Linked DNA regions of Schizosaccharomyces pombe. The protein of the gene in region 1 interacts with the protein of each later gene in a pairwise test. Each region holds a gene or a part of one and is shown in the gene's direction. Other genes may lie near its edges.

The links.
Region 2: the proteins of SPOM_SPAC2F3.05C (region 1) and SPOM_SPBC3B8.08 interact in a two-hybrid assay, tested with the Schizosaccharomyces pombe proteins (one large-scale study listed by BioGRID).

The regions. Positions count from the first base shown.
Region 1 is NC_003424.3:3,921,837-3,939,177, reverse strand, and holds SPOM_SPAC2F3.05C (xylose and arabinose reductase), read left to right. Parts: upstream 1-9,245; 5' UTR 9,246-9,541; coding exon 9,542-10,369; 3' UTR 10,370-10,553; downstream 10,554-17,341. Other genes in the region: plasma membrane sucrose/maltose:proton symporter Sut1, read right to left, coding at 1,398-2,581, 2,648-3,125; SPOM_SPAC2F3.07C (uncharacterized protein), read left to right, coding at 3,345-3,650; karyopherin/importin beta family nuclear import signal receptor Kap104, read left to right, coding at 5,110-5,217, 5,340-7,964; single-strand DNA-binding protein Rim1, read left to right, coding at 10,861-11,209, 11,294-11,397; DNA-directed RNA polymerase I complex subunit Rpa49, read left to right, coding at 11,918-13,195; sec67 (translocation subcomplex subunit Sec72), read right to left, coding at 13,847-14,425; U6 snRNP-associated protein Lsm6, read left to right, coding at 15,099-15,183, 15,293-15,406, 15,457-15,485; inositol phosphorylceramide mannosyltransferase activity Imt1, read right to left, coding at 15,865-16,824.
Region 2 is NC_003423.3:3,371,715-3,388,270, reverse strand, and holds SPOM_SPBC3B8.08 (uncharacterized protein), read left to right. Parts: upstream 1-9,699; 5' UTR 9,700-9,831; coding exon 9,832-9,924; exon of another isoform or gene 9,925-10,087; coding exon 10,088-10,456; 3' UTR 10,457-10,562; downstream 10,563-16,556. Other genes in the region: plt1 (phosphate transporter), read right to left, coding at 1-239, 388-408, 464-508, 555-571; diphthamide biosynthesis protein Dph1, read left to right, coding at 954-1,157, 1,246-2,352; SPOM_SPBC3B8.06 (uncharacterized protein), read left to right, coding at 3,257-4,792; dsd1 (dihydroceramide delta-4 desaturase), read right to left, coding at 5,321-6,409; U3 snoRNP-associated protein Utp3, read left to right, coding at 10,917-12,710; Nem1-Spo7 phosphatase complex catalytic subunit Nem1, read right to left, coding at 13,376-14,806; RNA polymerase I transcription factor subunit Rrn6, read left to right, coding at 16,087-16,556.

The DNA.
Region 1 (17,341 bases):
TCGTTCCTTACCAAAAATTAAAAGAAGAAAGTGAATCAACGAACTTTTTTTTTTTATTCCCAAGAAAAAAAACACTTTTATTATATTATTCCTTCGTATAACAGGAAAAAATACGCGTTCAATTGTGGCTGTCGCAATTTTGTCCAAACCAAGCTGGGGATGGTAAAAGGTAAAAGGAGTTTGTGCATTAGAGGAAGCAGTAGTGAAAAATGTTACCACAATTCATGCACCTACAAAAACTGTCATCGCTTTTCTAAAATCGCTTCATTCTTTACAATAGTAATTTAATATACTTCTGTTTTGTAGCGCAGTATGGAAATCATTTTTTTTCTGAAATCCTCGGGCTTTTCCTAAGTGAAATTGTAACTTAATTACACCCGGTTTTGTTCACCAGCGGGGCGGTCGGCTCCCTAAACTCGTAAACCCCCATTGTTCCTTGTCAGGATTTGCTCGCAGACAATCCGACCGCCAGTGCGGAAGAAAAATTTCCACTACCGCTTAGCGGGAAGATTGCGACAACGCCTTGTCGAGTTGGGTCGTTTGGCTTAGACAAGGAGGACACGGAGTCTTAGCTACCTAACACACTAAGCTGACTTGGCAGGCTATACAAAGTAGGCAGGTAGTTTAGATGCTAATTGCATGTTCATAATGGTATGACCGATTAGATGAAAGAGCACATGGAGAATTACATAACATGTTATTTATTACAGCGGAAGCTTTCAAAAGTTCTTATGCTTACAAACATATTATTATACTGAATTATCATTCTATATGACTGAAAATTCTTTTTATAATTTGGCTCTTTTAGCTTAATTTGAGGCTCTTTCTCCGTTTTAACTCTTTCTTTTTGTAATGAAAACAAGCTTGGCAATGCATTGTTTTTCCCTTTACTGTGATCAACATGGTGTTGTTGCCCTTTTTCTTACGCAAAGCTCGCTTCTTCTTACTGTATACTAATTTAAACTCGGATCAATCGAGAAAGTTCAAACATCTGCTAGTATTACTACTGCCACCATGGTTTTTTTTGTGTCCATTAATAGAGAGATAGTCCAATCAAGTTGATTTTCATTTTTATTACTTTTTATATCCTTTATACACTATAAGTATATCTTTTATATTGGTTCATGCTATACTCTACACAAGTATGAATCTTGTATCAAATGCAAAGAAAAACTTTCCTTTTCCATCTTGACAGTGTATTGTTTGCCCAATCAAACAAATCCTTTTGATAATGCCATTACTCTTCGTTGCCTCTCCATTCTTTTATTCAAATTACACTTTTAGAAAAAACAGCAATTGCTTTCACTCATATTTCGTCAATCGTAAATTATTCATAATATTCATGTTCACATATCATCGAATTGCATATTTTTGCGACATTCATCATCTGAATTCTTTCAAAAGTTGATGGGCAAAAGATGCCGGCATTGGTACGCGGCTAGAAATGCAGATATACCTCCAATTCTCAACACCCATGCTATACTATTGTCGGCGATGTCTCGATGACTGCCCTCCGATTGAATAAATACAATGGTGGCAATGATGGTGCTCAACACTTGGGGGGCAGATATAAATACATTGTGAACACCAATCATTTTGCCACTGCTTTCTCGTAATCCAAGCTTCCCTATTTCTGAAGAAAATAGCGAATATGGAATCCATAGAGTACATGCCCAGGACAGTCCACAGATAGCTACCATTGCCTGCGCTTGCCATGATGTTTGCAAGAATATCGTGCTCAACATACAAACACCAAAAAGGACATGGGAGCTCAACCACAGAATAGGAAGAGTAAGTCCTTTGATTTGTACCTTGGAGGATATCGTTGTCATAATTGATCTACTAGACGGTAAAAGCCTGCGTCGTGAGGGCTCATTTTCCGAACGGAAAGAAGTTGTTTCGCTCAAATTACCAAGACGGGGTGTATTAGTACCAGTTCTTATATTTCCGAGATCGTTTCTTTCTTGAATGTTGTATTCATTATTAGATGCATCACTCGATTCGTCCTCCTCATCATCCTCCGTGTCCTCGAGCAACAATGGAAGTGCTGTATTTGCGGCAAGAGAAATGATAGCAAAAAGCAGTAATGCGAACGACCCTTGACGAGTCGCCATGTCCCAATCTTCTTCATGGCCTTTAGGAGCATGGCGTAAATATAAAATACCCACATAGGTAGTAATATAAAACAAAAATGGAAACCATCCAAAGTATGCAAAAAATTGAACAAAACAAATTCTTTTTAATGTAAATGGAAGTGCGGTAATACTTTGTCGCATAGTTGTAAAAAATTCAAAGATTTCTCCAGCAACCGATTTCTCGTGTTCAACTGGTGGGAATCTCCTTTCACTCACAAATATTGTTGTGATGGTAACTGTGAGTACCAAGGAAATGGAGGCAAGTACGCAAAACACCTGTAACTGTGTGAAATTGAGAAAGGAGAAGATGCGATATAGAGGTAAATAGCCTAGTAAGTACCCAAGCACATTGCCTACACCTATCATTCTTCCAGCCCAGGAATTTGCTTCATGCTGTTGATCTGAACGGACTGAATCAACAATTAAAGATCGAGTGCTAGCCATTACTAGTTATAAAGTTAGTCATTTGTATGAACTACTACTCTGAAAACTAAATCCCTAAATTCACATACCGACATTGACGGCCACGTCAAGCAAATAAATGCTAATCGTAGCCAAAACGATAGTAACACGTTTCATTAGAACCTCATTGCTAAATATAAAGAGGCAAATATCAGGGGCCCAGCCCATAAGGAATAAGCTGAATGTTCCTAACAAACTAGCACAGAGCATGAACGGTCTCCGCCGACCTATTCTTGAATTAACCCGGTCGGACAATATACCAGCAATTGGCTGAATTAATATTCCAGTCAAAGGACCGGCAATCCATATAATTGAAGTCCATTCTTTACGAAGACCAAGTGAGAATAAATACGGTGTACCATAACCAAGTTCAACCGACCAAGTCAATTGAACTCCCAAAAGTGAAACTGTAAGAGCTATTAAGTAGAGGGAAGAGCGAGAAGGGATAGACTCTTTAAAAGGTGATGATGCCTCATTTTCGGAGGATAGAAGTTGTCCATTCTCCAATTGATTTTCATCTACAGACATATTTTAATGAAACTAAGCTTTAAAAGCAAAAGAGAAATGAGAGGAACGTTTGGTGGAACTTCTTTGGTAAGAGATATCTGTTCCTACAACAAAGTTCAGGGGGATTCAATTATGATTGAGAGAAATGATTTTTTAATTTTTCAAAATAATTGATCGCTGTCTAACTTGCAATGAATGTATCTGATCCTTGATAGCATACAACAGGCCACAATGTTTTAAATGTTAGTCAGAGAGAATAATTCAAATGATAGAAGTATAATCGAATATGTGATAAAAATCCTTCTAATTTCGGGGATTTCAAGAATTATTATATTGATTTTAGCAATGTTTGAAAGTATTAGACATATAATTTTTCACAACGATACCAATCCCAGTGATGCTCGAAAGTTTCAAATGGCAATTTGTAGATTAAGTTCGCAGAAAAGCAGAAAACTAAAGAATCCGATTGAAAGTTCAACGACGAGTCACAAAAAGAAAGGATACGTAAGAAAATGTTATGAATGTCTGCAGATACAGGTTAGTTGAACAAAAGCGATTAAAATGAACATAGAACAAAGCATCGTGTACTTACTTTGAAATCGTCAATAAGCAAAAAGCTTCAATTTAAAGCAATAAGCAAGGAATAAGAAATAATAATAAATAATTAAATAATTCCTTACTAATAAAGTACCTTTTAAAAGTATGAATTCTTATGAATCCTTTCAAATTACTACACCTTTTAATATGCTTGGTTTAGAGGAGCGACTCCATCAGCCCAGCTCCGCGTAAATGTCATGTTGACGTTACACTGTGATTCTGCACTATAGGACATTACACCGCGGCACACTGCATTCCTGTATAAGTCAAATGCTTTTTATCTTTTTGAAATATCGTATAAATAGATGCCGTTAAGTCCTAATGATGATTAGTATATTTGAATCTTAATTTAATCATTAAAACTATATAGAATATTATCAAATTTAAACTGCACTCATCAATTTACTAGTAGCTATCGCACTTCCAATATTATTATAAGAATATGTATACATATCAATAAACATCTCCAGGGGCGCATTCTGAATACAGCAATATTCCGGTAAAATGGAGAACTTTTACGGTATTTTATTGCATCCTTGAAAACTAAAGAGCAGTTCGTAGCGAAACGATATATATTTAGCGAAACACAATGTTGCAATCAGTATACTCGTAAGCTATATTAACGTGATTAAGTATATACATAAATATTGTAAAAAAATAAGGAGAACGCAGCCATTCCTTATAACGATGAATAATTCTTCTTATGGTTAATGTACAGAGTTAGACATATTTATGATTGACCTAGATAATTGTCTATGCTACTCAATAGCTTTCTTTGCACGTGTTTATTGGGCCTGAACATAAATTGGAGAAGTTAAAATATTGCCACGTTCGAGCAATAGTAATTTAAACTCAATGGTGTTATCCGCGCATGGCTTGTCGCTCAAATACTTCTCTTGAATAACATGGAGCTTAAATATAATTCTTTTTTAGTATTCAAAACAATATCAATCCGCCCCTAAATTCCTAAATAACATTGCATGGTTTTCCATAGACAGTGCTATTCTCTTCGTCAGCAGGTAACATGCAACCCAATGGACTTTTCGTAAATTTTTTGAAGAAAAATCAACAAATTTAAAGTGATATAGGGGAGCTACGTGCTAAAATTCTTTTTTTTTTATTCTGTAAATTAATTTATTTAATACATGAGATCATTATACTGTGCTGTGAGTGTTGAGATGCGTCTACGGGAAATTTGCAATATGAACTTTTTACTTGGTAGAAAAATCCTGTCAATACATGTTTAAATGTGAAAACAAATACTGGAATCCATTTATTTTTTAACGAATCATAGCATACCACTCTGGTAAATGTAAATCTTGGAATTGCTTGGAATGGTACTACCTGCCTTCCCCACACTCATCAGAGAACTACTACCAACAACTTCTTACAGTAAGTACAGAGTAAGATGGGGGACAATCCTTGGGTTCTCCAGGAACAAGTCCTCGTAGAACTTTCAGAAGTGATAAAGAATTCACTCTCCGAAAACTCTCAGACTAGGAATGCTGCTTTAAATGTAAGATTTTTTTTTTCTAAAATTAAAAGTTTCTTTCTCGTTGTAGAAGATGCTTCTTTTTACTTCACGTGTGTAACGACGTGTGAAGAAGAAATCAAATGGCATAACTAACTTTATTATAGTTGCTTGAGAAAGCAAAGGATATACCAGATCTAAATAATTACCTTACTTGCATTCTCATCAACGCTACGGAGCTTAGTGTTTCAATTAGATCTGCTGCTGGTCTTTTGTTGAAGAACAATGTTCGTGTTTCAAGCTTAGAGTCTGGTTCAGGTTTGCAGAGCCTCGATTACACAAAGTCAACAGTTATTCGCGGTTTGTGTGACCCTGAACAACTCATTCGAGGCATATCTGGTAATGTGATCACTACAATCATTAGTCGTTGGGGAATTAGTACTTGGCCTGAAGTATTGCCACAATTAATGGAAATGCTTTCTAGCCCTGCTTCTACCACTCAAGAAGGAGCATTCAGCGCCTTAACTAAAATATGTGAGGATTCGGCTCAAGAGTTAGATCGTGATTTCAATGGTACTCGTCCCTTGGATTTTATGATACCCCGGTTTATTGAACTTGCTCGACACGAGAACCCAAAAATTCGTACGGACGCCCTTTTCTGTCTGAACCAGTTTGTTCTAATTCAAAGTCAATCTCTCTATGCCCATATTGATACATTCCTTGAAACATGCTACGCCTTAGCAACAGACGTTTCTCCAAATGTGCGTAAAAATGTCTGTCAAGCTCTTGTTTACCTGCTCGATGTCCGTCCTGATAAAATTGCACCCTCCTTGGGAAGCATTGTCGAATACATGTTGTACTCTACTCAAGATTCTGATCAGAATGTCGCATTAGAAGCTTGTGAGTTTTGGCTTGCAATTGCTGAACAACCCGATCTTTGCTCTGCTTTAGGTCCTTATTTGGATAAAATAGTCCCCATGCTTCTCCAAGGGATGGTTTATTCAGACATGGACTTGCTGTTACTTGGTAATGATGCTGACGACTATGATGTTGAAGATAGAGAAGAGGATATTCGTCCTCAGCATGCAAAGGGTAAATCGAGGATTACCTTGAATACCCAGGGACCAATTACTCAACAAGGTTCTTCCAACGCCGATGCTGATGAATTGGAAGATGAAGACGAGGATGATGATGAATTTGACGAGGATGATGACGCTTTCATGGATTGGAATTTGCGAAAGTGCTCGGCTGCTGCACTGGATGTTTTATCATCGTTTTGGAAGCAAAGGTTACTTGAAATCATTCTTCCTCATCTGAAGCAAAGTCTTACGAGTGAAGATTGGAAAGTTCAAGAAGCCGGTGTTTTGGCCGTTGGTGCCATTGCAGAAGGTTGTATGGATGGAATGGTTCAATATTTACCAGAATTATACCCTTACTTTCTTTCGCTTTTAGATAGTAAAAAGCCACTGGTCCGTACGATTACATGTTGGACCCTTGGTCGATACTCCAAGTGGGCTTCGTGTTTGGAGTCCGAGGAGGATCGTCAAAAGTACTTTGTCCCACTTTTGCAAGGATTGCTTCGCATGGTGGTTGATAATAACAAAAAAGTGCAAGAGGCTGGTTGCTCGGCTTTTGCAATTCTGGAAGAGCAAGCTGGCCCTTCGTTAGTTCCTTATCTAGAACCGATCCTTACCAACCTTGCTTTTGCATTCCAAAAGTACCAACGCAAGAATGTGCTCATTCTGTACGACGCAGTTCAGACCCTCGCTGATTATGTAGGATCTGCTTTGAATGATAAACGGTATATCGAACTATTGATTACCCCATTACTTCAAAAATGGTCCATGATTCCTGATGATGATCCTAATCTTTTCCCTCTATTTGAGTGTCTTTCATCTGTTGCAGTGGCTTTGCGTGACGGATTTGCGCCATTTGCAGCTGAAACGTATGCACGCACGTTCCGAATTCTTCGCAACACCTTATACCTAATCACTACTGCACAAAATGATCCTACAGTTGACGTTCCAGATAGGGATTTCCTTGTTACTACATTGGATTTGGTTAGTGGAATTATACAAGCTTTGGGTAGTCAAGTTAGTCCTTTGCTTGCGCAAGCTGACCCACCACTCGGTCAAATCATTGGCATTTGTGCCAAGGATGAGGTGCCGGAAGTTCGTCAATCTGCTTATGCTTTGTTGGGAGATATGTGTATGTACTGCTTTGACCAAATACGCCCGTATTGTGATGCTTTATTGGTGGATATGCTTCCCCAAATGCAACTTCCTTTGTTACATGTGAGTGCATCGAACAACGCTATTTGGTCAGCTGGCGAAATGGCTTTGCAATTAGGAAAAGACATGCAACAATGGGTAAAGCCGTTATTGGAGAGATTGATCTGTATCCTCAAATCTAAAAAATCGAACACTACAGTACTTGAGAATGTTGCGATCACGATAGGCAGATTGGGTGTTTATAACCCGGAGCTCGTTGCCCCTCACCTAGAGTTGTTTTATCAACCTTGGTTTGAAATCATCAAAACGGTGGGTGAGAATGAAGAGAAAGATTCCGCGTTTAGGGGATTCTGCAACATATTGGCGTGCAATCCACAAGCACTTTCATACTTGTTGCCAATGTTTGTCCTTTGTGTGGCCGAATATGAAAATCCTTCAGCCGAACTTCGTGATATGTTTCAAAAGATTTTACAAGGATCTGTGGAGTTGTTTAATGGTAAGGCATCCTGGCAAGCGAGTCCTGAAGTGCTCGCACAGATTCAGGCACAGTATGGTGTCTAAAAATTTCACATTTGAAAAGCTCAATAAGCACCTTTTCTTTGTTGCTTTTTTATGAAGGAAAGAGAAAACAAAATTTAAAAACAAAAAGTATGAAACAAGTTGTATGTATTATATTAGGATATTCAGGTGAATGTGGAAAACAGGAAGAAGAAATGCAAGGAAGACTAGATATTAATAATTTGCATATTGCACATTTGAGGTTACAAGAATGACGGAAAACAAAATTGGAAAAATAACCAAACCCAGAAGGGTTGGTACTTTTGGGTTTGGTTTTATTTAATAGTTCCGCCCAAGTATCGACGTTTGTATGTATGTTTCATGTATGTTTGCGGTTCAATGACTTTTGTAAGAAAACACAAAAAATATTCAAGAAGAACAGCATTTATCAAAGAATCATCATCTGAATCCTTTTATTTCTCGGCCATCTGTGCAGTGGGAAGGTTTTAACTTGCATTTCCCCTTTCGCCTAAGGATATTGAGGAAAGCAAAAACACCCGATGATTATCTTTCAATTGAGGCTGCACATTCAAACAAAAAAGGTTGATTTCCTGCATAATGGGTTCTGTTGCATGTACAATCGTTTTTCATCACTTACTTCCTGATGCGAAAATTCTTTTACTTAATATTATTTATTGAATTGAATTCACGTTCATGCAGTCTACGTAAAAAAATCAAACAACGAAAACTAATCATTGTAGTTTAAAACTTTTCCCTATGTTTCACATATGGAATGGAGCGGCAATAGTCTGGTAGAGCAGTCCATTTCAAAGTAGCGCATTCCATACTATTTTAATCATACATTTACGTCGGTTTAAAAGACACGAATAATGTTTAAAGGTAAGATAAATAAAATGTATAATAAAACTTGAGAGCGTTTTCTCTTGTTGATTATAAGTCTACCACACCTTGATGTCAATTAAGCTAATACTCAGCAAGTACAAACGCATTGTTCATTAAATGCATTTTTATCAATAATTACTATTGGAGTTCAGTCTTTTGCTCTCGCATAAAAATCCGCTTAAAAACTATAAAACCCGCTCAATCACAAATTTCTCAAAAAACCGCTATATTCGCGATTCAGCATTTGTCACAAGCTTCGATTGATCTCATACATAGCATTTTATTCATTTCATTCTCGAACGAACATTGCTGAATTCCATCGATCGATTAGTACGAATTCGAAGCTTAACGAACTTTTGTGACGAAAAGCTGGGTTAACATCATTCTTTACATGTCGCTGTACGTAAGGTAAAAACGTGATGGTGCTTCGGGATGTTGCTTATCATTACCACTCATTAATGTTATATCAGAAGTTTTTCATGGTATAAATAGTACTGTGTTGTTCGCATGTCGGGTTAGCAATACCATTTTAGTGAAAAGAATTTATAACGTTCTTTTCTTTGGTAGTTGAAAATATTGAATATTTCAAAAATACTCAATAGCATTGAAAAACAGCTTGGTTATATTCAATTTTGCTGAATCTCGTTGATTGCTTAATTGAATAATTATCAATTTCCTCGTTCATTAATTTTTGACTTTTTTCTTTTAATTTAATTTTATTTTTTTGTTCATACATTATGTTGGGATCATTTGTTAAGTTAAACAATGGACTTAAGTGCCCTCAATTTGCTTACGGTTCTTACATGGTGAATCGTACAAAATGCTTCGATTCGGTGTATGCTGCCCTTCAATGCGGATATCGACACATCGATTCGGCTCAGATGTATCACAACGAGGCTGACTGTGGAAGAGCCATCCTTAAGTTCATGGAAGAGACTGGTACGAAACGAGAGGATATTTGGTTCACTAGCAAGCTTAATGATTTAAGTGGGTACAAATCTACTTTGAGCAGTATTGATGCCAGTGTTAAGGCATGTGGCCTTGGCTATATTGATCTGTTTCTTCTTCACTCTCCCTATGGTGATCGTATTGAATCATGGAAGGCGTTGGAGAAAGGTGTTGAAGAGGGAAAACTTCGTGCTATCGGCGTTTCCAACTTTGGTCCTCATCACATCCAGGAATTGTTGGACAGCCATCCAAAGATTATACCATGTGTCAATCAAATCGAACTTCACCCTTTTTGCTCCCAACAAAAAGTCGTCGATTACTGTGAATCCAAGGGTATCCAACTTGCTGCCTACGCTCCTCTTGTTCATGGTGAAAAGTTTGGCAACAAGCAACTTCTCGCCATTGCTAGCAAGTATAACAAGTCTGAGGCTCAAATCATGATTAGATACTGTCTACAGCGTGGATTCATTGTACTTCCCAAGAGTTCTACTCCCAGGAGGATCAAAGAGAATGGCGACGTTTTCGATTTCGAAATATCTAAAGAGGATATGGAGAAGCTCTACAACTTGGATGAGGATTATCATTCGGATTGGAACCCATGCGTTTCCCCTTTATAATATGTTAAATGATCGTCTTGTAAGAGCAGAGAATGCATTTTATTATTTATTTCCTCTGCTATCCCTAGATATGCTAGTATGATAGAATTTACGAAACTCAATTTATGTCAGCTTATATACCAAACATGCATCCAATGACTGTTAGTATGAATTAGTATGAATCCGATATTACTTTTATCATATACGATCATAGATTAGAAAATTCGTATTACTTCCATTGATTTGTAAATGCTAGCATAATGTATCGTAAACTTATTAGAAACCTAAAGTACCTCATGGAAATGGCTCATTTTGGGTAGAAATATATTCAGACTCTTTACTATGTAGCTAATTAAAAGCAAATTCTACCCTAACTTTGGTTTTATCAATTCACACACTTCTCCAAGTACTTTTCGCTTCGTATATGCGACGTATGCGCACTTCACTCATCCACAACACCACACAATAAGACTCCATTAATTGCTTTCCTGTGAGCTCAAGGTACTAAAAACATGCTATTCTTAAAATCCAGCAGAGCATTTTCCAAACGACTGTTTTCTTCATCGACTGTTCGTTATAGAGATATTCAACGTTTGACATTGACTGGCAATTTAACAAAAGACGTTGAGCGTTTGCAGTCTCAAAAAGGAAACGAATATATGCGTTATACTGTAGCTTCCAATAATGGAAAAGACGTAGCCCCTACCTTTCACTCGGTTTATGTTTTCGATAGTTACAATTTCGACAGACTTCAAACTATTTTAAGGAAGGGAACGCGTGTTTATGTGGAGGCCGATGCTGTTTGGCGTTCCGTCCCAGCTGGAAATGAAGGATCTCAAGCGAAAATGAGCCTGCGACATGGTACGCAACATTGCAATGGTCCAAGTTGAAGCCTGAAGCAAAATTTGAAAACAGAATATAGTATTTACTAACCTCTCTTATTAGTATCTGCAGACGTTTTATTTTATCCTCGTAACAAAAATGGCGATGAATCCGGAGAAGAGACTCATCCTGAATTAGACGCAGATCCTATGATTAACAGCTTCTAAAATTCGTGTTTCTAGTTTAAAAATTTTCTGCACTTTAGACCGTTAATATATTTGGGTGGTATTTTTCTAGGGATTATTGAGTTTAAAAAGTCTCCTAATTCATTTTCTCTGCATTATGCACATACTTGGTATTGCTATGTATTTTTCATTTGATGTTTATTTCATTATTCCGCTGGAAATAATCTACCCATGGCTCTTCTGATTTGTTTTTATAGACAATAATGTCTCTGCTGTAATGTTTTCATTGCGTTCTAGGAATTACTTAGTCACCTTTACTCCTTCTTTTTCAAAGTGACAAATTTGTTAGTCCTTTACAGTAAATTAATAATCATTTTTTTTTATTTTAAAGTGTACTCTACGATTTGTAATATTCAGTTTCTTTAATTCTTTTCATTTAATGACTGATCCTCAAACTTCGTTAAGTTAGATTTCGCAGCCTCTGTGACTGTACACTACACTTCGTCAAACAAGCAAAGCTCTTTAAGCGCTAGCATTTTTACCAACAGCATCCACTATTGGAATGGCAGGTGACGAGTTAAAGGGCAAGAAGCGGAAATATAGAGATTCCCATTCCGGTGATGAAAAATCCGTTAAGATATTGCCTTTGAGTGAATCGAGTTTACCACCACTTGTCACGACAATTTCCGGATTTTATCCACCCGAAAATACCCGGTTCCAGCTTCTCAAAAAGAGCAATCAGAGCAACAGAGATGCGTCGTTAATTGGAAGGACAGAGCGTGTTCAATTTGAGGCTAAAAATCAATCAACGGCTACGGTTGAGGCAAATTACTGTTTAGCTGTTGCTGATAAAACTGGTCGTGTAAAAAAGATTGTTCCAGCAAAGTATCTTAATACTTTTGAAAGAAATATTTTGGCACTTCAGGAGAAGGACAAATTTTTGAAAAAGAAGCATGGAACTGTAAGCGGTACTGTTATGGAACAGCGTGCCAACTTGGGTTTGGCATTTGGTACAAGAAAAAGTCAAAAAGCTATTATGGAAGAGTCCGCCAATCGTGTCAAAGCTGAAACTTTGGGAGATGTCAAGGATCAATTGGTTAGTAATGTTCAAAAAGCTACTGAAGCACTTCCAACGCAAGAAGATATCGCTGCTGCTCAAGCGCAAGATCGCCCTATTCCTCCTGTCAATGTCGGTGCTGAATCCATTGAAGATGCATACAAATTGGAGGACATTATTCCCAAAGAAGAGTTTTCAGCTATTTACATTAAGCCTCTGTTAGAAAACCCTGACGAGCGCAATTGGGCCAAATTATTGCCGTACCGTCACTCCTTGTTTATTAATGAACGCTTCCAGCGATTACTTTCCATTGAGGAGGTTGACCAGAAGCGGGCGAGAATTTTGTATTACATTTCTCTTTTGCAAGCTTTTTTGTTTTCTCGTCGTTCTGTGGGCAACCGTGAAACTTTACGTAAAAAATTGGCTGATCCACCAGAGATTCTTATTGATGGGTTGATTAAACGTTTTACTCAAACCACCGGTATTGGTAGCGTCCAAGTATCATCTCGAGAAGTTGATAAAATCATATGTTATATTCTGGTATTGTGCTTAATCGTTGATAATTACTCAACTGATGTTCTTACCTTGGCAAATGACTTGAATGTCAAGACCATGAAGGCTAATGAGCTTTTTAGAACGGTGGGTTGTCGAATTATGGCTTACACCGAAACTCAAAGAATGGCTTTAGGTCTTAACAAAACTGATGCTAAAAATCATAAGCGTGCAGTATTAAAAATTCCCCTAGAGTTCCCTAAACCTCGACGTGGACGCGCTAGAAATTAGAGAAAAGTACAGCGTTGTTTATTTTCAAAAAAATGTGTGTGTGTTTTTTTAAAAAAAAAGAAGGACGGTATATATAGAAGAAACAACTACTGAAGTTCGTGATGTTCGATATCTCCACTGCTTATAATTGTTTTGGACGTCAAAGCGACATTGAGATATCCAAATAAAGTACCAACAAATTTTCAGAAACTTCTTATGGGAATACGGGATTAAAGGTGTTTTTTTATTATAGTGGAAGTACAGAAAATAATAAAATTTTGCATTGTATAATACTTTTGCTATAAGGCAAAGAAGGGTGACTTAGATGGTAACTAACTTTCAAGCAAAAAAGTTACCGTTTTACTCAATAAATCCTTTGGAAAGTTATAACATTGTTGTTTGACTATAGGGTAACAAATGACAATCGAAACTTAGATTCATGTTCAAAACCACCGTATTTATGATGTGCTAGGGGATGGTCTTTTGTATACAGTAATTGCTACAATCACCTGAGCATTAAATGAATTGGCAATAATATCAAGTTAGTATTAATTTTGAAATGGATTAATTATGTGGCCGTAAGTGTTTATGGTAATATGAAACAACACAAAGAAAGGAAATAAAAGGAGCGTGCAAATCCAATGATCATTTGAAACCATGATACAGTTGGTTTTAATCTTTTTCAGTATAACTTGCCCATAAAGCCACCAACTCGTTTCTCGTAACTGGCTCTGCCAAAATTAAACCGTCTCGTACAACCTGTTTAGCCTCTTCTATGCGATGCATTGCCTCCAAAGCCTTTGCTTTCCTATAATAACACTTTCCATAATTATTTCGAATTTTCAAAGCAGCATTTGCATCTGCTAAAGCTTCGGGGAATTGGGAAAGGGCAATCTCAGCAGCCGCCCGATTACACAACATAACACTTGCTTCTTCACGCGTAAGAATCGACGGTTCCCAAGTACAGCGATTCAAAGCGAGTTGTAATGCTAATCCATATAACTTTTTTGCCTCCTCATACTTTTTGCGTTTAAATGCCTCGTTTGCAGTTTGCTTCATCTTATTAACTTGGGTAGACAAGGCCATATTTGGCTTAGCAGGAGGATAGGGAGGTGGAATAAAAAAAGGATATTTAAACGTAGCTAATGACTTGGCGTATTCATTAACCTTTTTGCCCAACTCCAATTCCTTCCCACTCCATTTTGACACATCAACTTGAGGTGCAACCACCGATTCTTGTTTAGCAACCATCGAAGCAAAGTTTTAAAAGAAGAAGTAGTGAAGCTGCTCTTAATGTAAAGCACAAAGCTCGGATGGATTATTATGTACAAATAATTTAGAGAAGACAAGCAATGTTCAATGCAAGTAGTAAACTTGAAAGTGTTAGCAGAACGTGTCACAATACTTTAACACACATAAATACTAACTACGCAGTTTGTTATTTAATTTTAACGATGTGTAGAACTGCAATGAGCTTTATGATCTATTATATTGCAATATTGCAAAAAGCAGGTAATACAAGTAGCAACCGAGGACATATATAATATTTTATGTACGATCTATTGTTACCTATCATTAATATAGCTTTAACTAAACTGAGGAACGAGATTCAGCTGTACCTCTATTTATAATTGTTCTAAAGGGTGTTTTTAATAAAATTTATTTAGTTAGCGGATAGTTACCCATAATTATTAATAACCAGATCTCAACTGATATTCCAACATATCACATATAGTGATACGCAACGAAGTGTATATTAAAGTAGTGTAGTCTTGCACGGTATACATTTTTGCACATAATGCTATTCTTCATTATATGCAAGAGCACCCTGAACTGAGGTTACCAATGTAGTTGGTGTCTACTTCAATTTACGACTCACAGAAAACCCTTCAAAGGCTGAATTCTCTAAACCAACTGGAAGATAATGGATTCTTCTCCTAATGAGTTTTTGAATAAGGTCATCGGCAAAAAAGTTCTTATCCGGTTAAGTTCTGGTGTCGACTATAAAGGTATTTAACATGAATTGCGTCGGAGACAATGCAAGTTTGCAATTTGTTTCTATCGCTTTAACTTTTTTTCCGTTATTTAGGGTTTGTTAATACTAAACCTGTTTTTTAGGAATCCTCAGTTGTCTTGATGGTTATATGAACTTGGCCCTTGAACGCACAGAAGAATACGTTAATGGCAAGAAGACGAATGTTTATGGAGATGCATTTATTCGTGGAAACAATGGTATGGTATTTATATTAAAGTGCTTTGATTTCCTAACTACCGTCCAACAGTCTTATATGTTTCTGCTTTAGATGATTAGAGACGATTTCTAGCCCTTCAATACGATATACGATTATGGTACAAGATTGGTTAAAGTAATTTGCATAAAATACAAATTATCGTTAAAAAATACAAACACGTGTATACATAATAAGTTCTTATGCTAATGTTGAAAAGAAGAGCCAGAGTTCAATGAAGGATATATATTTGTAGATATTGATGTATCATTTAGAAGTAAATGTAATTTATAGCCCTTTAAAAAAAACCGTTTTCGTTAAACAAACACAGAGACGATGACTTTGGCATCATTTTTTTTTTTCAAGTTGTCATCAAATGAAACTATAATATACACTTCTTTTACCTTTGAATTTCTTCAATAGCCAAATCACCCATTTAGCCCATCTATAGAAACGAAGGGACTAGGGATATAGCTCCTGTATTTGTGAGTGAGAAGCCGCAATTCCACGTTTCCTTCTCCGTTTAAAGACAACTCTTAGACATAAGAAAAGGATAGCGAACGCAGCCAAAAAAGCAAAAAATAAGACAGATTTTGAATTTCGGTCTATCCAAATAAATACTTTAGCATCAGTGCCATGCCAGCTATCACCAGTAACATGTGAAAAAAATGAATTAGGTCCGTTTCCATAAAGTAAAGCAGGTAAGACGCGCACTGGTTCATGCGGCGTAAGTAAGTATTTACAAAATTGATAAGATAGGAATAAAGGTCCTGCACTGAGAAACACCGTGGGATATTTAGTGAAATAACGGTGGTTAAACTTTGACAAGTTATGTATCGCCTGATACAGAAATGGATGCTTTGGTGTAGCAGCAAACCAATCATTGCTATACCCAATGGGTTCCGTCGAAGGCAATATAAAAGTAGCTTTGCTTAGAAGAGGATCCATGGGTTTTTTACACCCAATATCCAAATCCATGTATACGCCGCCGTAATGATAGAGAATAAAGTAACGTGCAGCATCAAATTTCTGGATATTATAAGGATAGCTGTGGAAAACAGGCATAAACCAGGAATAATTTTCGTTCATAAAAGACATAATTTTTTCATCTGTCCATAAAATGAACTGCCAGCCGTTTTCATCAGGATGTTGGCGCCTGCAAGAGTTAACAGTATTAGACCATCTCTCTGGAATATTTTCATCCTTCCAAAGCTGGTGAATCACTCTTGGTATTTTTTCCATTTCTCCTGGAGCACTAGTATCATCTGATACATCCGATAAACTTAAGGTAAAAGGTTCAGTCGCTTTCCCTGGTACCATAAATCTCAATGTGTTATAAAGGGAATAGCCCCAGAGGATCAACAAAATAACGCCGCATATAGGTATTCCCTTTAAGAGAAGCTTGCGACATTTCCTTCCCATGATTGCAAACAGATGTAATTCACCTCGGCAGCAAAACGATAAAACAAAAGAAGCGAAAAAACAAGAAAGGTGATATGGTGAGCAAAATTCACTTGTTCTAATAAGAAAACCGTTGAAAAATAAAATGAATATTTAATTTGTTCACGATGTGCGCATAAAAAACAAATAACCAGAATATATGCAGTGATAGTGTTGAAAAGTGTTTCAGTAGAACAGAAAACCCAATATTAATAAATTGAAGGTTTAATAGAATTAGAAGCTCAGAATAGGTTGAAAAGAATAAATACGTTATGGGGATGGCTTAGAATCGCTGCATATTCAAACTTGACAAGTAACGAAAAGAATAAATTAAAGCCCGCGAGCACTTCAAATGCACAGATAAATAAAAGATATGTACAAACAAAGAAAAAAAATATGTTTGATTCTATACAACAGGATGCCTTGATGCTGGATGAAATGCAGTAGAGACTCAAAGACCCAAATGGTGTTATGATGAATGACAGCGTTTTCGTATCAT
Region 2 (16,556 bases), on another chromosome or scaffold:
TGTTTCCCTGACTCATATACTCATTCTCATAGGTTTCAAATTCGCCCTTAATTCTACCATACTGATCAGCAATTTCTTTTTCTTTAGGAGCATAAAATTCAACAATTCCTTGTAATTCCTTGTCTAAAGCAAACATAAAGCGATCATCGGGTGATCTTCTTTCGTGCTCTAACAGCCTAGTTTCTTCATCTGGAGCGCCTTGTTGTAATGTTATCTGTTCATGTTCCAATGAATAAATACTTAAAAATATATGTTAGCAAAATTCAAGTACAATTTTATTCTCCGGCTGTTAATCAGACATTATCCCAAATTTCGCAAGTATGAATTTGTCGGAATATAGGATATATCATAATAGCCAGTCGTAAGCTCGAGAATTTTCAAACATACAGCTTCTTAAGGTTCGAGTAACTAAGCACCGATTGTTAGCAAAAATCGGAAGTAATCCAACAGGTTGTTTACTTACGCAATGTAGCTTTCGGACCATTCCGGTACTGCATTAAATTGAAGACTAAAAAGTAATTAGAACAAGTCTTGTGAAAACTGATGCAACAAACCTATGACTGAATTTCATCTTGGATGACAGAGGTCATTTAACTTCAATTGTGACTAAAAACAGCTTTAGCTTATTCACGCAAATTAATTTGGAACAATCTAAAGGAGCGTTAGCCGTTCAAATTTCGTGGCCTATGATCGGAGGTGAAGCTGTATTCGTGGATCCAACCTCCGATAGAAATAGCGTAATATAACAACGTGTGTTAAATAATATAGCAAAGTGCAATGCTTTTTTACTTAGTAAATTATTTGGGATCCTATTGTATTTTAATTTAACAAACAAGCAATTTGCAGGGAAAAAGGATTTTTGGCATTCTATCAATTTAAATACATACATAGCATTGGTTACTTCTTGGGATTTCAAAGGGTTTTAGTAATAGACTTTATAATTTTAAAACACAATGGCGGAAGTGAAAAAATCAATTCCAAAACGTCGTTTTGTTGGCAAAAAAAATAGGAAGGAAAATAATTTGGATGGTTCTAATAGAGATGTTGAAAATGCTGCTCTCGTCACTATTAACTCCAAGAGGAGCGCTGGACGAGTAGCTACTCAAATCCCAGAGGATATATTAAACGATAAAGCAATTAATGAAGCTATAAAATTGGTAAGCTGCTTTTATTAGAGAAAGATGCCGTAAATTAGTTTCTTCTTTTCTCAAAAACATCAAAGCTTGGTCAGCTAACCTTTAATAGTTACCGCAAAATTACAATTTTGAAATTCACAAAACCATTTGGCATATTCGCTTACGAAAAGCAAAACGTGTTGCCTTGCAACTTCCCGAGGGGCTATTGATGTTTGGTTGTATATTGTCTGATATTTTTGAACAATTTTGCCAGGTCGAGACAATTGTGATGGGCGACGTTACATACGGTGCGTGTTGTATTGACGATTTTACAGCTAGGGCACTCGATTGCGATTTTTTAGTACACTATGGTCATTCTTGTCTTATACCTGTTGATCAAACGCCCATAAAGGTGCTATATGTTTTCGTGGATATAAAGATAGATTTGCAACATGTCGTATCATCTTTAAAACATAATCTACCCTCCAATTCTAGGTTAGCTTTGGTTGGAACTATCCAATTTGTTGGATCTCTCAACTCTATAAAAGACGCTTTGCAAATACAGGATGAAGACGGAAAGGGAGGTTTTTACGTTGTTATTCCACAAGCAAAGCCATTATCTCCTGGAGAGGCGTTGGGATGTACATCTCCCTATATTGAAAAAGGATCTGTAGATGCATTAATTTACATTGGTGACGGAAGATTCCATTTGGAATCTGTCATGATTGCTAATCCTGATTTGCCCGCATACCGCTATGATCCTTACTCACATAAGCTCTCTATTGAATCTTATGCTCATGAAGAAATGAAATCTATTCGGTATTCCGCCGTTGAGAAAGCTCGTACCGCTAAAAAGTTCGGTCTAATTCAAGGTACACTGGGTCGACAGGGGTCTCCTAAGGTACTCGAAAATTTAAAGAATACTTTAAGGAAAAATAATAAAGATTTCGTTTGCGTTTTAATGTCAGAAATTTTTCCTAGTAGATTGGGTCAATTCTCTGATATTGACGCGTGGATTCAGGTCGCTTGTCCAAGGCTTTCCATAGATTGGGGCTATGCATTTCCCGCTCCATTGTTGACACCATATGAAGCATCTGCTGCTTTTAATGTTGTTCCTTGGAAGGAAGTTTATCCTATGGACTTTTACGCTACCAATTCATTAGGTAATTGGACTCCAAATAATCCCGAAAATCGACCTCTGCCAAATCGCAAAAAAACCGGACCCGTTTCTTCTTAACGCTACTTGCCATTAATGGCACTAATACTTGTTATTTTTTAACCCTTATATTGTTCTTTATAGGTTTATTAAAATACCAATAGAATTCTCATCTGATAAATACAATATGTATTACATAAACTACTGCTTTAATATATTTATATTTAAACTATGCACCGGCAGGCGCGTCCCTCATTTTAAGGAAATTTATAAGTAACCAGCCCTACATGTTGTAAAGTAACGATTGAATGTGTCCAGCATACCCCCCTGTTCCATGGCGGTTATAAAATCAACACAAGCAATGCGAAATTTTTTTCTTGTTATGTTGTTCTAACTTTTTTTATGTGAGTAGTTCTAGTAGCTGCAGATAGGTTCAGGATGCTTAGCCAAGTAAGCCAATAGGAATGTTCTTGATCGTTATCACTCCGTCACCGTCCGATTCAGCTTAAACACTCCCATAACCCATTCTCAAAGTGAATCCCTTTTTCTCCCTTCTAATAGTGTTGTTATATATACTTATATATAATAAAAAGGTAGGTTAATAGCATCATATTACAAGTTAACACATTTTGATGAGAGAATTTCATGCTATGATACCGGAGCGGATATGTCTGCGCAAAAATCACTCCACTTGATTTGCATATATATCGATGATGGCAGAAGTGTTATTAACTCTTTTTAGATTCTAAAAGTTCCAATTGAAGCCAGAAGTGAACTAACTAATAGTTCATGCGTTTGATGCTTTAAGGAACTCAGTTTTCAGGGTTTAATTTATAAATATAAAAGAAAAAGGAATAAAGTAGAGCTGCTAACCCAACTCGGTTTTCCCTTTTATTTGATTTGAACAAATTTTTTTCTTCCAAAATTAATTTTGGCACCAATTAGTTAACTTTTTTCTGAACATTTTGCAAAAAAAAGCGAAAAAATGGATGGAATGCACATGAATTCCACGGGAGATAATCCCATCGAAATTGATTTCGAAAATTATGCAAATCACATGAACAAATTTCTTATGGCTCATATCATTTGCATGATAATTGCTTATGTATTTATCCTTCCTGCTGGAATTGTACTCGCTATGGCGAAAAGTAAAGCACATATACCCGTACAAATTGTATATGTTATTTTGACCCTTATTGGGTATATTTTTGCTCATATAAGTCATCACAAAGCATCGCCTGAAAATTATTACAAAGGAAATATTCATCGACCTGTAGGACGATTTTTCATGTGGATTACTTTCTTGATAGCAATAGTAGGCATTACAACTTCTATATTAAAGAAACGAATGTTGAAGGAGTACCAACCTGCTGCCGAGGCTCCAGGTGCGATGGAGGATCCTGAGCAAGCCCTTCAAAGAAATAGTTTAGATGACGGTGCACCTTTATTACCAAGAGAGGGTAATTCTTCTGATGAATATCTTCCACCTCAATCATCCCGTCGCGACGTATCATCTGAAAAACCATCAATCCCAAGTATCTCCTTCATAAATATTAGGTCATGGCGTACAATTCCTAAAAAATGGTGTGTCCTCCAGGTTCTTCGTTATTTCCATAGAATTTTAGGTCACTTATGGTTATATGTTGGCTTTTTTGAAAGCTGTACAGGAATTGTTTTGTTAGCTGGAATTTTTAAAGGACAACATATTTTCAATGGTTTGGCTCATTGGATTAAGGGCGCCATATTTCTTTGGTACGGCATCTTGTCCTTTGGTGAATATTTAGGTGCTTTCTCCGAGTACGGTTGGGCTTGGAATGTTGTTCCCAAGCAACTTTCTGAAAAAAGATTTGCTAAGTATGTACCCACTAAAGAAATGGTAGAGTCATTTTTGCTCTTTGCTTATGGTGTCTCAAATGTTTGGCTGGAGCATTTGGGAAATACTGATGGAAAATGGAATCATCACGATTTGCAACATGCATCATTAGCATTCATGCTTTGGTGGGCCGGTCTGTGTGGTATTCTTGTAGAATCTAAAGTTGTCCACCGGTTGTTAAATGCTACTTTATCAGCTACACTTGGTCAGCGTCGCTCTGAAGATTCAGAGCATTCGGAGAATGGCTTACCCTCATACAATGTGTTTCCTGCTCTTACAGTATTTTTCACCGGTATTATGATGTCTGCACATGACCAAACCAATCATGTCTCGACCGTCATTCATGTCCTATGGGGAAGATTATTAGCTGCGGCAGCTATAGCACGTATCTGTACATATATTATGCTATACTTGAAACCTCCCTCCTCTCCCTGGCCTACTCGTCCACCTACTGAAATAATTACCAGTTTCTGTCTTATTTGTGGTGGTGCTATGTTTATGGCTTCATCTTATGATGTTGTCAACAAAATTCGCTTGAACGAAATGTCACCAATGCTTATTATGAACATCTCTGTCGCGTTTACTTGTATTGTTATGGGGCTCGAAGTAATGTTCCTAATACTCAAAGGTTATGCTAGTTCAAGATAACTTTTTTGGTTCTAAATAGATTATTTTAAAGCAATGGCTAATGAAGTACTTTATTGGTCATTTGTGTTTGTTATTTTTTTTGGTTTTTTTTAGAATTCTTATTTTTTAGATTTCTGTTTGACTGTTGCGTTAGGTATAAGTTTTTTAATACTTTCTATAATAATATATGCCAGCTACTTTAACTTACAAGATAAAGAAATTTGGTTTTTGTCGTAATTTTGCTAACGTTTTTATTTTTTCGTTTTTATGTGTTTTAGAACATTACCGTTTGCATAGCCAAAGTAATTTATTACATATGAATAATGAAGCAATTAAAAAAAAATTTGACAGCAATAGTATTTAATAGAAAAGTAGTGATCAATTATTAAAAATATTAAGTGAAACACGCCTCAAGTGATTAAGTTAATTTTCAATCTGTGCAGTCGAATTAGATGAATAAGTAGCACCACTACGCTGAACGAAAAAAATAAATCAAAAATGAAGAAGTAGAATTTAAATGAAATAACCGAAACCCAATCATCATCATATTTATGAAACATGAAGGTGCATTGATTTAGTTGGAATATCAGCATGTTTTTGCTTACGCTTAACTCGGCACCACATACCAACATTTGAATCAGTGATGAATTGATAAATGATACCGCACCAACTCTTACAGTCAGGAATGTTGTCATAAAACTCAGGAGCTAATTCGCGCACTTTGCCAATGCGAGTCCATGCAACATAGGGAAAGTCGTGATGTTCAATATGATAACCAGCATTATAAACAAAGAAGTTGAGAGGTCCGTAATAACTAAAGGTCTCCAAAGGTGTTTCCTTACCAGGACCGGAGGCAATAAGACGGGTGCGGGTCATGTTGTAATGTTCACTTAAGAAATGACCAGCAGTTGGATGCAAGCTACCGGCTAAGAAAGAACTCATAAAGAAATAGGCTAATGCTCTCCATCCAACATATCGCACAACTAAATAATCGAAGGAAAACTGAACGATAATATTCCAAAAGTGCATTAAAGTGAAAGGAAGACGGCGAACAACAAGGGGACGGAATGCGTAGAATAAAAGCTGGAAAGTGCAAAAAAATGCCTTTCCAAGCACATTATCAAATAAAATAAGTTCGGCACGAGTGGGCAAATCAGTGTCCATACCATCAACACCTTGATAGGCATGATGTTCCATATGATAGGGCCGAAAGCTTGCAGCAAAAGGAGCACCTACAGGTAAATTAGCAAACAAACAATAAGCACGATTGTAAAGAGTTTTTTTAAAACCAAGGTTGTGACTCAACTCGTGAATGGCTAAAAAGAGATTTTGGTTGCAAAAGGCACCAATAAAGTAGGCAGTTAAAAAGAATTTCCAACTCAGTAGTGAACTTTGTGAAAGCAAGTAAGCACATGTGAATTGGAGAGACACCACGCCGAGAACAATCCACTTGGTCAAAGGTTCATAACCATTGAGAGAGGCGATCTCAGGATGGGCCTTCAAAATAGCAGCACGACGACTTTTATGAGGCTCTTCCGTGTATGTCCAGTAAAATTGATGAACATCTTCACTATCAGCATTCCAAGACTCTTCTGCTGGAGGTGGAACAGCGGTAGTTGTAGCAGTTGATTCGGCCATGTTTCGTTTCTAAAGAGATGCTTAACGAAAAATGAAACAATGCAAGTAATTATGTTTTATAAAAGACACAACAACAAGAAACTTAACAAAGTATTATTGAGGGTTCTAAACCAGATGTATCAACAACTTGTTCTAACAAACAAAAAAATATATATAATCTGGTTAGATTGATATGTTAAATCTAGTCACCGAGAGCTTTATGTAAATTTCAAAAAGCTCACGTATAGAACTAGGGAAACAATAGCTATTGAAAGATACTTGGCTATTCAGGATAGAGGAAGAGGCCAAGTAATATACAGCACACAAGTTTCGGAAAGTGACAAGGAGCTGGGCTCGTAAACAAATCTCAGGAATAACGCAATTTAGGCGAGTGGCTGAAAGATGAAAAGCGGCAACGTTTCGTAAACCTTGTAATAAACGGATAACAAAGCAAGGACAGTTAAGCTAGCTACGAACTAAGGCGCAATTGGACTTGTTCAAACACTAGGCAAAAAACCGTAAAGAAAAGACAAGCTTAAAGAGAAGAACAATAAGTCTATGAAAGGAAATTCTATTTAGCTGACAAATTCGATTGGCACAGAAAAATCAGCTTAATCTCTGTAGAATTCCAAACAATGCGTTGCTTTTCAATACAGCTAGTGGTGTATGTTGAAAAAAAAAGCGGGTCAATTAGTTGGGTGCAATTAAGTACTTAACACACACGAAATTTTGCTTCCTTACGCAACTGTTGCAAAATCCGAATAGGGTAGTAGAAAGACAGAACGAAGCAAATTTTTTCGGCAAATGCTTAGAATTCACTTCAAAGGCAACGTTTGTTACGATCCTCTACGTTAGGTTGGCAAAAAGGTGGATTGCGTTCTTGGCGATGTATGTATGACCGACTGGTTATACAATAACTTCTCCAACGAAATGATTTGCACTACAACTAACGGTATCGGCAAATTCAAACAATTTTTTGCTTCTATCTCTTTTGGTAGTTAAGCTCGTTAACCAATGCCTTAACAGCTAACTCGTATATATAAGACCACTCATTCTTTTTAAAGCAAAGAAGCGTGTACCAGACGACGGAAGGGGCGGCAAAGCTTTCACTTTAAGTGACAAAAAGCTACATCATGCTAACGGTTTAAAATACTCATGTTGGAAAGAAGTGGACACAATCATATGGTTCCGCGCATACCGAATGTAAAAGATGTGGGTGTGGCACACTAGTGAGGTCGATATCGGATCCCCCCACAAGGTACGAAAAAGGGTATCATGGGTAAAGCAAAGGTAGATGGAGATGGTTAGCTAGACTAAGACTTAGGAGTTAATGAGGTGGGGGAAATGAGTACTACGGGGGGGGAAGAGGTAATGTTGGGTATGTAAGTAAAGAATAATAGTAATAGTGGCTATGGAAAGTAATACAACATATACGGTGAGATGGGATGAACTGAATGAATTAGTATAAATTAAATGAACTTTAGTGAAGTTACATGAGACGGAATATAGTAAATAAAAAAAAAATAAAATAAAATAAATTTTGAAAATAAATAAATAAATTAAACTATGATGAATACATTTGTTTCCTAAAAAATATCTATTAATTTATTTATTTACATTTTACAAAGGAAGCATTGGAAAATACGAATGGTGAGAAATATGTTTAAAAGAAAAGCTTTCCATTTGAATACTTATTAGTACGAAAACGAAGTTAATGGAAAATAATAAATATAAAAAAAAAAAAAAAAAAAAAAGAATAATAACAATTTTCCTCAACTTTGCACAAGTTGTATGTATAATATACAAAGAAGTTTGGTCCGAATACCCATCATCTAAATAGCTTCTTAATAATCCCGTTCTATGCCATCTCCCCTTGACTGTCGAGATTTTCTTTTGTTTATTCTTTTTTCAATCAAGTTTTTATCTTATCGCTAGTCTTTGTACACAAGTTTTTCCTTCGCATCTGCAGTAAGCAGGAACGGAAAGGAAAAAGGGGTAAGGAACAATTAGGGTTGCTTTGAAATTTCAATGCTCAAATTCCAACATGCCGTACGGGAAATGATCGGGAAAACTTTCCGCTTTTTTAGCAATTTCAAAAGTAAAATTTACTACTTGTAACATATACGTATTGAAATTCCGCCAAACCTTCGTTACCATTTGTCTAGCCTCCGAAATCAGTAAACAAGGCAAACCGTCTATGTTCCTTAGTAAATAAAAAAAAACTGTCGCTTTGTAATATTCTTTTGTTCATTGGGTAAAGCATTTGGGGGTCTATGTATCTAAAAAGAGTTAAATTAATCTATAAAACAATTGCTTGGTTGAAAAAAACATGATTGTATTTCTCTAAATTTACGAAAAAGTTTACCTTTTTTGTCAATCCGCTAAATTTACCAACCTTATGATATTAATATGAAAACGAAACCTGAAGCGGGTTTCCAATAAACCTATCTTTTTGAGATGATTGTTATTTGCACCGACTATGAAATAAATAAACACCATCATCTATTATGCTAATTTGTGCAACATACTTAATTAACAAGTACTCTACTTAATTTAAATCATCATGAGAGAAAGTAGCAACTTGATGAATAATTTTATGTAATTATTTTGTTTTTTATTCCTATTAATATTTTGGTATTTGATGTAATCAATTCAGCTCGAATATATATTATTTTATTTTATTTTTATTATATCATCTAATTAACAATAAATATATTTCATCGAATTTTCTTACGAAGCTCGTTCATTGTTTCATTTTTTTTTTTCTTTTTTCTTTTTTTTTTTAAATTATTTGTGACGTTAGTCTGTTACACTAATACCCGTGACTTTAGAAAAAATGAGTTATAGAGGAATTATTAGATACATTATTACATCGTGTTTCGGAGAATTACAGCAAACCCCCATTAATGGTGCTCTTACTAACATTCACAGCTTTCATTCGAAAACGCATTTTTGTTTTGCCATTAACTTTTATACTAAAAAAATAGGGTAAAAGTTAGAACAAGTGAAATAAAATCAAGTGAGAAAAGGGATTATATTAAATAAAGGAAAGATTTAGACTTTAAAAAATAAAAAAATTGTATGGGTTCCATATATCGTTTTTTTTAATTAATTTACCCTAGTTTTTCAAATCATTGTACTGTAGCAGCGATTAGTACTTGCACACACCATTAAAGAAATCAAAAGTTCAGTTTTCAAACTCCAAAACTTTCAGTGCAGCGTTTTTTTTTATATAACTCTGTTTATTATATATACATAAATTTTTTGTCTTTCTTTAGTTCTTCGATTCAACCTACGCTCATAGTCTCTTTACAGACAACCTACAGCATTTTCGTCAAAACTAAAATTTTCTAACAAGTAGGGAAATAACTCAGAACATAAAATATACAAACACTTCTTATTTTTGTATAAATCGGTTCTATAACACTACTGTCTTTAGAAAAATGTTAACACAAGACGAGGTCTCCGCTCAACTGGGTCAATATATGCTCCGCGGCTATACTCTCTTGGATACCATTTGTCCGAAATGTGAAAAGGTAATTAATTTTGTATTTAGTCGTTGTTTAAACTTCAGGTGAATACAATGGCAAACGGAATGATATTAAGGAAGTCAGTTTTCTTTTCTCAAAATGCTTTTGCTACCTTGGTTTTTAAAACAAAACCAATTTTACTATTACCCTTTTTCTAACACTATTCTAGGTACCTATGATGCGACTTCGTGACAACCCTATGTTTTGTGTTTCATGTATAAACGACCTAAAGGAATCTGATGCCTCTGAACATGTAACAGTCGCTGAATCTGCTCCAAAGATAGCTTCCTTACCTATATCTAAAACAAATGATGCGGAAAGATCACAGCAAACAACAAAGGCGCCAGTTATGGAAAGAACTGAATCAAGCCATCAAGCCACTTTAAGCGTCTACTCGAGGCTTATTTCAGAGTTGGAAAGTCAGCTTGACGATCGTCTTCCTCTACCACACAATACTGAATTCCTTGACGTATCATTACAAAGAATTGAACGTATTTTAAATTTGATTTCACTTGCAAAATCGCTAATGTCGTCTTAGGTGTTTTTGTAAACAATTACAAGTCATCTATAATTACAGGGTAATTGACTTCGGTGAATATCAATTATTTAAAAGAAATACGAGATTTGCAAACGAGTTAAGTCCTTTAAGTCTGTTTCAATAAACCGCATAACTTCAAAACAACTGGCAACTATGACATTAGGAGAGTTTGTCAACATGAACCATGCATCTCACATAATTGTGTGCATCGAAAATTATACATGTAATGATTTTAAAAGAATTTGATATGTAAATACTTATTCTTGGAAAGAAAACACCTCTAATTAACTTTCTTATGTACGGAGAAGTCCATGAAAATAATAGTGTGGAATAATGAGTTGCTTTATTTTTAACAAAATTAAGTTTTTATTGCGTTAAATTCGCAAATAAAACTTGCCTACCCCTTTAGTGGCTCCTCGTAACTAAAAAGAATTTTTATATTTGTCAACTGCATATCAGTATGGCTAGAAAGAAGTCGAGAAGCTCTTCTACTCGGAAAGGTTCTTCTTTAAAGGTACCAGAAATAAAGGAGAAAGAAAAGATAAACGCAATCAATACATACGAAGATGTTGCTAATTCAGAAGATGAATTCTATAACGCACAGGATAAAATTTTGTTTGATGCTGACAACGGCGAGCAAGCAGACGAATTAGAATTAAGTGATGAAGAACTTGTGGCTTTAGAAAGTTCTAGCGATGAGGAAGATGGGAACGCCGAGGAGAATTTATCAGAAAATGAAGAGCTCTCGGGCAAAAAGAAAGACGCTGTTAATGAGGAAGAGTTATATGATAATAAAGGTTGGGGTCGCTCTGCAAAATCATATTACGGTGGGGATGATTATGACAATGAAGACTACTCTGAGGAGGACGATGAATTTGACGCACGAATGGAAGAGCAAGAAGCGTTGCGTTTACAACGTAAACGTCTTGAAAAAGTCAGCGAAACTGATGCTATTGATGATATTAGTCAATGGGCTGATAACAGTGACCTAAAATCTATAAAACAGGATTCCTCTGCTGCTGCAATTGAAGAACTTGTTCAGCAAATTTCACCTGATCTCCCTCGTACAGAGCTTTTAAAGATTCTAGAAGCTAAACATCCTGAATTTCAATTATTTTTAGATGAATTAAATCAATTGAAACCCCAGTTAAATGAAATTAAGGAGAAACTTAAGACTTATCCATCTTCTCAGCTACTTCAAGCTCAATGCACCGCTCTGAGTACTTACATCAGTTTTCTAACATTCTACTTTGCCCTCTTGAAAGATGGAGAGGAAGATTTAAAAAATCATCCTATTATGGTTGACCTTGTTCGTTGCAAACAGACGTGGGAGTCTTATTGTGGGTTAGATGAAGTATTGACTCCAACTTCTCTCGAGGAAGATGGAAAAACTATCGAGCTTCACGAAAAGATAGCATCGGCATCTGACATTGGTGCGTCCGAAGATGAAGAAGATGTTGATATGCACGAATCAATCAGCGATAATGAAAATGAGGGCATTAAGGATATTCCAGTAGCTGAAGATGATGATATTACTTTGAAATTTCGAGCCGCTAAATCTAAAATTAATACTAATATTAAAAATCTCGATGACTATGGTGAAGGCAACAGATTGGACGATGTTGATGCTGAAGACAAGATTGCTAGGAAACGCTCTTTAAAGTTTTATGCTAATCAAATTGACCAAAAGGCAGCTAAGCGTTCCAGAGCGGTACTGGAGTTATCAGGTGATTTGGACATGCCATACAAAGAACGAAGATTTGAACGCCAGCAGCGATTGATGAGAGAAGCTGCAGCCAGGGGTCGAAATCAGGATGCTGGTGCTGATCTTGATGATGAAGATCCGGAATCAATGGGCATACCTGCAAATGTCGATCGTGAAGTTGAAGATCAAGATGATTTGGATTATTACGAGTCTCTCGATAAAAAATCAAAGATGGCTAAAAAGCTCCGTAAAGAAAATCACGATCTCGAACGTGATTTAATAAGAGCTTCAAGGCACCCAGAACTAATTGAATTAGGTGAAGGTGATAAGCGTGGAATTACTTTAGACATTGCTAAAAATAGAGGATTAACTCCCCGTCGACCTAAAGAAAATAGAAATCCTCGACTTAAAAAGCGTATGCGCTACGAAAAAGCTAAGAAGAAATTAGCCAGCAAAAAGGCTATTTACAAGGGCGCACCACAGGGCGGCTATGCTGGTGAGCAGACTGGTATTAAAGCTGGTTTAGTTAAAAGTATTAAACTTCAATAGAAGTGGTGGTTGGTATTGATTCAACTATTAATTCTGCATATATTAGGTTTTTTGAATTTTCGTGTTATTAGATACATATAATAATAATGTGGTTTTGGGTTATGTTATTTGCTAGAACAATGTCGTTAGCCTAGTGATATGATTTTAAAATGCTAAAAGTCTATGTAATCTGGTTTATAATCATTAAATCATTTATAATCCTTTGCCCATCCTGATTAAGTAAGTTGATTGTAATAACAGATTGAAAAGTAAAAAAAAAAGAATCAACACTTAAATAGAATAAACATGTTTATTAAAAGCTTGATTTAGAAAGAAATTTCATAAGTAAGTTGCCTTCGTAATTGCTGCGAACATCAGTGCAGAAACTAATCTTTCTTAAAACATGCGTTTAGTTTATTAGAAAGAATTTCTTACGATTAGGCTTACATTAATTGACATATTATCAGCAAAAAGAAACAAAAATTATTTAACTGGAATGGCCCAAATGCGGTCTAGGAAATATCCAAAAGGTACCCTTTTGAGGTTATAACAAAGAAGTTTGATGATGAGAAAGGAAAGGCACCCAAGATGTTAATGCAGTAGAAAAAGTTATTTTAGACCATCGTTACTGGTGATAAATAACGAGTAAATTACTCACGAAAAAAAAAAGGAATCATGAAAAGCACTTATTTTGCGAGACGAAGCCCCAAAAGATCTCGCACATCATGAACATATTGCAGTGCATGAAGAAAAGAAAGTAAGTTTAGTAAATCAACGTCAGAGGGGTCGCTAATCCAACCTTCAATAGGTATGGCATTTTCTTTATGAGCATTGTAACTGGCTGGAGAATTATCAATTATCATGATCCGTGAAAGATGAATATTACAAATGGAAATATCTTTAACGAAAGAACTATCGACAAGTGCACAGTGTTGACGGTAGTATCGTTTAGCAAATATTTTTTTATCACGCTCCAAATAATCAATTATTGGATCAGCATATGGCTGGACAGATGCTGTGAACAAAATAAGGCGAAACCATTGACTCACATTTGATAAAAAGTAGTCAAGATGAGGCCTTTTGTGAATATAGTAAAGGATTGGATGTTCACCAGGCACATGTACTTCAATTGGCTGTCCAGAAGTCGTTCGACTACCACGAGACACGGAATGGATAAGTGTTTCATCCAAATCTAATACAAGGGTCTTTCTCGGTAACTTGCTATTCAACAAAGGCCTCGGTATTTTGTCCGCACACAGAGTAATGTTTCTAATACGGAGACGGGAAGAAGAAGGAGATTTAAGAGGATCATTAACTATCGTAAAGGAGGAAGGCAGCTTAGAAATATTGTCATTAGCAGGCGGGGAAAACTGAGTTGATTGAGGTTGATGCGAATGTCCTGAACGATTGGAATTTGCTTTTCCCATTAGGGAGACCTCTTTGGGTTTCATAGGAGAAACACACACATCTTCTTCTGAATTCAATGAATTTGAAAAAGAATTGAAAGAAATTTCTTCTTCTGCAATAGAGGGCTGAAAACGAACATGATTTCCATTAGAAGAACTGCTATAAGAATTAGAAGATCTATGTCGTTTGAAAGATGAATAGGCAGGATCCTGGTGAGAGGATGGGTAAGAATAAGAAGAATAAAACCTAGGACGGCGGACACTTGGCTGAGGGGGAAGCATCTCTCGGCGTTTATACGATAATAATACAGGAAAAAAGACAAACCGGCATAGACCCCAAAAAAAACTTGCAAGGGTAAACTCTTTCTCTTCATTCAAAAAGTGGTACAAAAATACACGAGCGGAATGAACGAAAAACGTATAAATTCGTTTCAGGAACACACGAATCCAGTAGACGACAACACGCATAATGTTGGCATGCTTCGGTTTTTCATTCCTTGTAGGAACTTCCTTTTCCGTCGGTTTTGATGACAAACTGCTAAGGCTGGACGCCGAATAAGACGATCTACGACGATTATAATGCCTCAAAGTAGCTGATGAAGCTCGCCCCCGAGCATTAGCAAGTTTTTCTTTGTCAGCTTCATCGTCGTCTAAAGGAGTGGCAAGGATTGCTTTATTAATTTCATCTGATAGCCTAGCAATCGAATTCATTACAATTATTTTCTCTCTGCTGCGATTGCAAAGAATTAAAAAATTCACCAAAAGAAGCGATGCATACAAAGTATACAACGACCAAGCAGAGTCCTTTTAGTAAAAAAGAGTAATTAATTAAATATGTGTTAGTTAGACCTAAAATATGTGGGAAAACAAAGCCAGAATCACACGGTGGTACGATGCACAATATATATAATGATGAACTACAACCCAAATAATAACATTTTCATAAGACGTAATGCTTAAGAAGATATATCAAAACTACCTTAAAGTAACAAATTTAAATGTAAACAATACGGTGTAAATATTTATTAAGTTCGTAAAATGAAAGTTCATTGCAGAAGCTTTCATTTTTTTTAACTAATAAACTTTACTTGTATGGGTTTCTGTGCAAGAAAAATTAATTTTCATTTTATTAAAAGTCTAAATATTTGTAGAAGCTAGCTTAATTGCCATTCTTTTAATCAACGTTTTGCTAGAATGTAAGTCGCCGAGCGGTCTTTTTAGGTTTCTTGACATTACTTGAAAGATGCTTTTAAGTCTAAATATATTTAATGGTACGTTAAAATGTATCAAGCTCCTTTAGACGTTGCATACAATAAATTACTTACAAATAACAGGCTGAACTAACTTATTGACTTTACAAAATTATAAACATATCGATAAAATTGGTTAAGCGGACACTAAAGAGAATTCAAAACACTTGCTAATCTGAATATTGCACTCTTCCTCAGGTATCAGCACCTCCTTACGTATTTTTTATGAAAAGGGAAAACTGGGCTAATGCAACATTCGTAAACCAATTTATCTATTGCTAAATCATTCCAAAATCGTAAGCGTTTGCATTTCATTGTAAAGGAGATTGTTTTGTTGCTGTGTTAATCTACATGTAATTGATAGCAGCTTAGAGACTTCGGAGAAGAACTCCTCTCCTACTTGAACACTGTCTTATGACTAATTTAAGTATTACTTTTAAACTTCATCTTTTTCTAGTAAAGAGAAATTCTCAGTTAACATAAATCAATAAATTGTTCAATTGAAAGCATGTAGTCGGTAGGAGTTATATTTTATATAATTATATAATGGTTTAAAGATAGCACTTTAAATATATTATAGTATAACAATAAAGTCAAGTTCTTAACTATAGGTGAAATTACTCCAGCATTGCTTCCTTGAAACACTGATTACTTGCTTTGTCGCTAGGTTGCTCTTGTATTGTCGTTAGATGTGTTTTTGTAAACACAATTCAATCTAATTTTATTTTTCTAATTATCTTCATGTCAACATGGCCTATTGATGCAATTAGTAAAAAACCTAGTGTAAGTTTGGATTATGGAATTATAGGGGCGTGTCAACTTTTAAATCCATCTGGCTATCACAGAGCGGAGAAGGTTGAAAATAATGAATGGACTTTTGCTAGGTATGACTCCTATACGGGCGTCGAGCTTGTTGACTTGGACAAAAGATGGGATATCTTATCTTTAAATCCAAACTACAAACTCCCTAAATTAACTGAGCTTCCTGCTGAGGCCACCAATTCCACGCGTAAAGCGACTAGTAGTTCATTTGGTTTAAGTGTTTGCAGATATGTTCCGCGAAATTTATTTTCTACACTAGCGAAAGAGTCTCAATTAGCTTCTTCTGCTGAGTCTATATATAATCCACATATTTTAAATACTTTTTGCTTGGGTAAAACAGCGCCATCAGATAAAAACAGATACACCACAACTGAATGTCTTGCTTGTAG